2 linked regions of the Caenorhabditis elegans genome follow. The protein of the gene in region 2 purifies or fractionates together with the protein of the main gene of each other region. This does not show direct contact. Each region holds a gene or a part of one and is shown on either strand. Other genes may lie near its edges.

Region 1 (3,255 bases), 1.5 Mb from region 2:
TACAAGTGATGAACGAAAGACTGGTGTCAGATTGTGAACAAGACCGCCTCGTGGCATATGAAAAAGATGGAGATAGTTGGAAAGAAACGAAGTAGGAAAAAACATTTGATGTTATATATTCATTTAGTATATTCATTTCAGAACGATTTTCCAAGGTTCCAACTTCTTGCGTGGCCTTCAAGCTGTTATTCAGAAGAAGTTGTACCGAGAGCTTTCCGATTTCGAAAACCATTTGGACAATCCCGAGTTCGACTTCTATAACACAAATCTGAGCAACAAACTCGTGCAAGTGGCGGAATTCAGAGCTTAAAAGCTGAAATTATTATCCTAATTCGTGTTTTCATAACTTATTGCAGTCATCTGAATATATTATATGTTTAATCCCCTTCCGTTTTCGGGTTGAATAAAAGATTTGATGACAGCTGAGTCGTGTAGGATTGGTTGCCATGAAAACGCATTAGAGAATGCGCAGGAATAGATGTCAACAAAAACGATGTTTTAGGTGGGAAGCAATACTTTATCAACATTCAGCAGAGATACGAAAACGGTGAAAACACCGGGAGACATAAGCAATCAGTTTATTCGTAGACCCATGAGTTGATGAATGGGCTGGCGTAGTCGTTGATCTCCTCCTGCTTGAACCAGTGAGCAATCTCGCGGTTGGCAGAGTCAACGGCATCGGATCCGTGGCAGATATTGCGTCCGGTTTGGATGCAGAAGTCTCCGCGGATGGTTCCTGGGGCGGAAGCGAGTGGGTTGGTAGCTCCGAGCATGGAACGTCCTTGCTTGACGACGTCAAGTCCTTGCCAGACCATGGCGACGACTGGTCCAGAGCTCATGTACTCGATGAGGGATGGGAAGAATGGTTTGTCCTTGAGGTCTTGGTAGTGAACCTAAAAATAATAATTTAACTGGTTGGGCCTAAAATTTTGTAATTTCGTGAAAACGTACCTCAAGATGGGCCTTGGAGGCGGTCATCTGCTTGAGAGCAACAAGCTTGTATCCGCGCTCTTCAAAACGAGCGATGATCTTTCCGACGAGACCACTGAAATTTAAAAAATTAGGATTTTGAAAATCCTAAAATCCATTGAGGATGCTAGAATAAGTTTCTTCAAAGATAACTAACCGGTGGACTCCATCAGGCTTGATGGCGATGAAGGTTCTCTCAGTGTTGCTCATTTTCGGACAATCCAACTTGGAACAGGTGTCAACAGCACAGGCGACAGCGACGAACGCAAGTGAAAAGAATAACCCGCCGGCGCCCATTCAATCAACTCCGACACAAATGAAACGAGTGTAACCGTACTTCAGCACGTGGCGAGACCCGACCTCGCAGCATTCTTGGCTTTGTGCCAGAATTGCAATGGAGCGCCTTTACTGACCACTGTTTTCGACCAATTTTTTTGGACACCAATTGAACCTTTTGCGAGAATTATGTTCTGTCAAACTGGTTTTCTTCATATGAAATTTCATCGGGATTATTGAACAAAAATCGGAATTTAACGTCACCTGTAACGTCAAAACACATTGAGAAGTGAATCGCTGCATTTGATATCTGAAAAAACGCGTGTGACATAAATAGTTTATTACACTTTGTCTCAAGTTCTATGACTTATGTCTGCTTTTCGTGTCTCCATGCAACAAGCACAAACGCTCTGCATATTCCCATTAAACTATTGTGCCTCGTTACGCGTCGAACTTTATTTCATGCTTGATGACCTGGCTCCGCAAATTTCTTTTTTCGTTTCAGACACTACTTCACAAAACTATTTGCAGTACAAGGAAACCGGTTCTCCCATATTCGCCACCTTCGACGCCCTATGTTTAGAATCGACTAAATGTAAGGTTGTCTATACTCTTTCTTTTCTGCCATCGACTACCATTTAACTGTTTGCCTACCAAACCGTGAGCTTTGTTTGCAGAACAAAGTGAGAGCAAAACTGTATCGAAACGGGGAAAGTCTCTCGGAAAGAGAGCCTCTGTCTTATCATTTATCACCTGCTGATTCGCGAACGAAGCCGATGGAGAGCGAAGTGTGAGTTTTGTAGATATTTTAAATTACAGAAATTGTTTCAATGATAAATTCTAATATAATTTATCTCATTCCAGTGTCCTTCCCACGAATGGGGTGATGAAAAAATGGACAAACTACGTGAATGGATGGCAAGATCGATACTTTGAAATCACAGAGGGAAATCTTGTTTATTATCTGTCAAAAGCCGAAAAATCCCACGGATGCAGAGGAAGCATATTTCTCAAAAGTGCAATAATAGCTGTGAGCTTTTATTGATTTCTCAGAAAGTTCTTGTATATTTAAAAATTTAGGCCCACGAATTTGATGAAAACGAATTCTCAATATCTATGGGCGAAAACGTTGTCTGGTATTTGAAAGCAGAGAATTCACAGTCAAAACTTCTATGGATGCGATCAGTTGTCCGGGAAACAGTGAGTGTTTTCTGAATCTGAATTTGGTATTTTTAAAACATAATTTTTTCAAAAAATTACTTCCCCAGCGATTCTCTCGGAGTAATTACGAGATAAAAAGTTGTATATTCTTCGTTTAAATATGCTCCGATCATAGTTCAAACACCTCTCTTATGTTCCTTTTTACATCAAAAACACCATTGTTGATCTTTACCTGATTTTGTCATCCCGTGTAAATATATAGTACGGACGGTGGCACACAAAAGTCAATTGAAAGTTCGGGAATAGTACGAGGCTATAAAATATAAAAAATCGTTCACTTCGAAATTCTACTTTTAGAATCAGAGAAATCAAGTTAAAACTTCAATGGGAAAATCAATAATTTTCAGGTACAAAACGATTCGGATTATAGCTCGACTAGCACTAAAAGTCATTCCCGTAATCCATCGGTTTCCTCAGTTCTTGCTACTAATAATCAAAAATCTGATGATAATGAATCAACGAAGCTTTTTGCCACGAAACTCTCCGAACTCGAAGCATACCGAACTATGTGCAAGGATCAGATGACATCAATCGAAAGACTTCTGGAACAAGGTGGAGCCAGTTGTATTGTCCCACAAGCCACGATTCTATCAGTAAAAGCAACACATTTAGCATTGATTGTTAATATTAATCATATCGTGGATCTCGTCAAGACTTCTAAAGTAACAATTTGCTGATAGTTTGAGAATTAAATCAAATAATTTTCAGGTGGTAATACCAAACATTCCATCTTCTTCTTCATCCACTCCACCACCATTTCGGGAACCTTTATGTGCAACTAGAAGTGTT
Region 2 (4,762 bases):
AGGAGGAATGGGCGGTGGAGGAGGATTCCGTGGTGGACCACCTGGACGCGGTGGAATGTAAGTTTTGAAGTGTGGTGGAGTGCTGCTGCGCCAGTGGACGGAATTTGTCTAAAAAATTACAAAAAAATTAATTTTGAACTGCCCTTGTTCGATAGAGCGCGCTTGCATTTTTTGTAATTTTTAAAAAATTCGTTTCTCACATTTTCCAATGATTTTTCTGTAAATTTTCACTGGAAATTTGAAGAAAATTTCAAGAAAAATGCAAATTTTTCACTAGAGAGCATCTGTATGGGTACGTAACCATAAAGTTGCCTTATTGTGAAAAATTTGCATTAATCTTGCAAACGTTTCTTCAAATTTCCAATAAAAATACACTGAAAATATAAAAAATCAGTAGAAAATGAGAAAAATAAACTAAAAATGCATTAAAATAAATAAAAAATACAAGCGCGCTCTATTGAACAAGGGTAGTTCAAAATTAATTTTTTGTGTTTTTCAAATCAATTTCCCCCCCCCCCCCCCCCCCCCCCACTGGCGCAGAATTCTCCATATATCTTTATAAAATTGTGCAAGAATAATCCTAATAAATGTCTGAGGTTACAGGGCAAACAGACGCGGTCGAGGAAAGCGCCCGGGAGACGGACGAGGGGGACCAGCATCGAAACGAGACAACGGAAAGCCTGATTTCTCGGCTGACGTCAACATGAGCACTTTCTAAATTGCACCCCCGGCAGAAACTCACTTTTTCTTTGTTTTTTAAATTATTTTTCACTCCCCCCATTTTTTAAAAAATTTTAAACTTTTTCAACCAAAAATTTTGCATTTTGCATTATTTTTCTAAATTTTTTTGTTTCGTTTTTCGAATGGTTTTGATCTCAAAAATCGTTCGACTTTAGAAAGTGGTGCGAAAAATCGAAATTCTATAATTTATATACATATTACCCTCATTTCTTTTTCGAATTTTTTAAAAAATTTTTCCACTCCCTCTCTCTCCTCAACCCAACCCGTTAATCTCTCACGACCTCAAAAAGTGACAAAAACCATTCTGAAAAGTTGTATTTTCTCATTAATTGTAATAGAGATTTTGATATTGAGCTTTGCAAAAAATGGTTTTTAACGTATCTCTCTCTCTCTCTGTTTCTCTATTCCCTTCACCCTCTCCCTCTCTCTCCATTTGAAACCGTTTTATTCCGTTTTTTTTTTCTGTGTCTCGAAATTTTCACCTTTTGCTGTGAAAATTGGACGCACACACAATTTTAAAATAAAATAAAAAAAAATTTCGTTCAAAATTTTTACTCTTTCTTTCGGAAGTTTGCCCAAATTTGATTTCTCTGTTTCAGATCTTTTTTTTCGCAGTTTTCTACAAAAAGCTCGGAGAATTTTGCAATGCGGCAGGGAAAAAAGGGCGGAGCGTCGTTTGCAAGCCTGCGGCGTGGTTTTTTTTGGGATTTTCAGGATTTGGAAAATATAAAATATTTTTGGATTTTTACAAAAAATTAATACTTTTATCCAGTTTTTGTCAGAAAAAAAAAATTAATGTAAAATTTTCGAGCCTCAACCAAAAAATAAATGCCTTTTTCACTCAAAATCTTCAATTTTTTTACAAAAAAATGCAGAAAAAAGTGAATTTTTTCTAAAATAATCGCTGAAAAATCAAAAAAAAACCGCGCCGCAAGTTTGCAAACGTCGCCACGCCCCCGCAACACCTAAATTTCACGATTTTCAAATTTAATTTTTAAATATATCTTTTTTTGCAGGGAGAACCTTCGTCAGATGAGCGATGAAAAGAAGAAAAAGCGGTAGGCCGAGCAGGCACACATTTTCAGGCAATTTAACACCGATTTTCAGCGGATTTTTCAGATACAGCGTGCTGACGACGTCATCGTTCTCATCGTGGCGGAGATCTTCAACGAGTGGAAGGTTAGGCAGAGTTTTTTTTTTGGCTGAAAATTCGAGAGTTTTCGATGTGAAAATGGCCTTTTCCCCAAAAAAATTGTCAATTTTCGCGTTTTCGCCGCGTTTTTTGGCACATTTCCCGTGGAAAATGTGCTTTTTTCGCGAAAAAAAATTCGAAAATTCCGCGATTTTTGAATAAAACAATTGCGAAAATGAAGAAAACTCAATTTTTAACCTGAAAAGCTTGCAAAACTTGGTTTTTGCTCTAAAAATCGCAAATTTCATCCGAAAAACCCCCCAAAAAAAGCAATTATCGCCTTTTCCTCGTATAGCTGTCGTCGTTCCACTTCATCAGTTCTTCTCTCCAATTTTTCCCCGGCTTTTCCGCATTTTTTTCCCAACGAGTTTTACGTTTTTTACTGCTGCTCAGCGGCCGATTTAATTTTAATTTATTACGATTTTCAGTCGTGAAAATAATATGCACAACAGGCAAAAAGATTTATGGATTTTCGAGCGAGTTTTCCTCGAGGAGTACACAAAAGCTGCGTAAATCTACACAGAGGTTTTCCGGCCGTCGAGTTGGCTTTTTCTCATATTTTGGAGAATTTCGTTGTTCCGTAGTTTTCAGCCAGCCGGGGTTCTGGCCTTCCTCATTGAATTTTTCGCGCTCCATTGACAATCCTGTCTGCCGGACAACGCGTGGGAAAGTGTCGTGTACTCCTCACTGACAAATACATTTAGTTTTACAACTAGAATCGAGCCGCAACGCGCCGTAAATCTACCGAGCCAACATGGCCTAGTTCGGCCAAAACTCTTCCATTTCAATTTATGAGGGAAGCATAGAAATCTGTGAGATCGGTTTAATTTTCTAATTTTCAAGAATAAAGAATCTCACGAGATTTGTCTTTTCTGGAAAATGCAATCACAGTTCTGCTTTCCCGCTAGTTTTCTGGAAAATGTCCATTTTCAAGCTTCTCGAGGTTAATTTACGACTTTGTGCTGGCTCACATGAGCTCCTAGAGCCATTTTGGAATATTCAATGGCTCCGTTCGCCTTGGAAGACGAAAAAGAAAAAGGAAAAAATAGAGTGTTCGATTAAATTTTGCCTCCTTCGCCGTTCACATCTACACTCGGGGTCTCAATTTTTCCTCGCTCATTTCATCAAATGGTTGAAGGCTCCCGGAGCCCACCCATTTTGAGCCTAGCTAGCTGAGCACGCCTTTTTTGCTGAAAACGACGAGAGCAGCAGACACACGCACACATTTTTGTGCTCTAAGGCTCAGTCAGCTACACAGCACAACAAGCATAGGTTCGCTTCATTCAAGAACATCAAATTGCATGTGCTTAAATGTGCTGCTCATGCTATTTGCTCATTAGTACCCTTTGGAGACGATTGTGGTACGCGATTGTGAATCGAAGGCGGGGAAGATATGAAAAGTAGGTTTTAACTTGGCTTAGAGCTCTTAGAAGTTGTCCTGAAAGTCCTCTGGTGGCCGTGACGAAGAGAAAATTCGGCCACACTCAGCAAATTGAGACGGTCCAGAGCCGCTCCGTTTGACGGATTCACCCGATTTCGCTTTGATCTTCGAAAAATGCGGGAGGTGAGACGCAGACCTCTCAACTGTTTTTGCATGGTTAAGAGTGTGCTGACGTCACATTTGTTCTGCGAAAAAATTCCCGCATTTTTGTAGATCAAGCTGTATTGGGATAGCCTGACACCATGTACGGATTTTGGCAAACCTACCGTAATCCTTACGGGACATGAATCTTCGGCATCTCGTTTGAAATAGACAATTTTCAACGCGAAAATGGATTTGCTGGAGATTTTTTTCATTAATTCCAAAACTACAGTAGCTTTCCAAAAATTTGTGGAATTCGCATAAAACTGTATGGAAAATGAATAAAATCCAACAGATTTCTCACCGAAATCTTTCAATGTCGATTTACGCAGCTCGTGTACTTCTCGAGGAGTACACGAGAGAACTGCGTGAATCGACACATGGCCGTGGCAGAGGTTTCACAGTGTGAAAGTGCCAGGTTGTCCCATTACGGTTTGATCTACAAATGCGGGAATTTTTTGCCCAAAAAAGTGTGACGTCAGCACGTTCTTAACCATGCTAAATTAGTTGAGAAGTCTGCTTCTAAATTCCCGCATTTTTTGTAGATCAACGTAGATCAAGCCGAAATGAGACACTCTGGCACCACCAACTCGTCGAATTTTTTATTTTGTTTCTCTTATAAATATTTGTGCTCGGCTTCTTCACCTGCTCTGCTCACCCTCTCGGAGCTCAGTTTTGTTGCTCTTGGATACGGAAAACCGCCGGGAATCAAGTGTTGTAGTACTTGAAGTTTTTCGATTATTTTCAGTCATAGATGTCCCGCTGGGGAGGAACACACAAAAATAGCGTCATTAGTATTCCGAATCTGGTAGATTTCACAGCAGGGGGCACGTACATATTTAGCATTATGGGGACAATTGGATGAGTTTCAGTAAAGATTTTGTGGTGGTTTCTGAAAGCAAATTGCCGATTTGCCGGAAATTTTTAATTACGGCAAATTGCCGATTTGCCGGAAATTTACAATTACGGCAGTTTTCCAGTTTGCCGATTTGCCGGAATTTCTCAATTACGGCATCTTGCCGGTTTGCCGGAAATTTTCAATTACGGCAATTTGCCGATTTGCCGGAAATTTTCAGTTACTGCAATTTTCCGGTTTGCCGATTTGCCCGAAATTTTCAGTTACGGCGAATTGCCGATTTGCCGGAAATTTGCAGTTACGGCAGTTCGTCGGTTTGCCAATTAGCCGGAAATTGTCAACTCCGGCAATTTGCCGGTTTTTCGATTTGCCGGAAATTCTCAATTACGGC

Evidence for each region. Proteins that work in one complex are often made in the same cells at the same time.
Region 1: the proteins of ksr-2 (region 2) and ndk-1 purify together in Caenorhabditis elegans (affinity purification with western blotting, with the first as the bait; one study listed by BioGRID). This does not show direct contact.

The regions. Positions count from the first base shown.
Region 1 is NC_003279.8:10,552,616-10,555,870, forward strand, and holds ndk-1 (Nucleoside diphosphate kinase), read right to left. Parts: upstream 1,299-3,255; 5' UTR 1,180-1,298; coding exon 1,127-1,179; intron 1,046-1,126; coding exon 952-1,045; intron 894-951; coding exon 579-893; 3' UTR 504-578; downstream 1-503. Other genes in the region: F25H2.4 (MPN domain-containing protein), read left to right, coding at 1-91, 142-310; cert-1 (Ceramide transfer protein), read left to right, coding at 2,022-2,035, 2,110-2,275, 2,326-2,445, 2,814-3,128, 3,175-3,255.
Region 2 is NC_003279.8:12,056,794-12,061,555, reverse strand, and holds the start of ksr-2 (Kinase suppressor of Ras B), read left to right. Parts: upstream 1-1,757; 5' UTR 1,758-1,773; coding exon 1,774-1,799; intron 1,800-1,848; coding exon 1,849-1,920; intron 1,921-4,762. Other genes in the region: hrpr-1 (RRM domain-containing protein), read left to right, coding at 1-57, 604-718. UniProt on the Caenorhabditis elegans protein: Probable inactive protein kinase which positively regulates Ras-mediated signaling probably acting at the level of let-60/ras or/and lin-45/raf. In the germline, regulates meiotic progression during oogenesis and mpk-1 (isoform b) phosphorylation.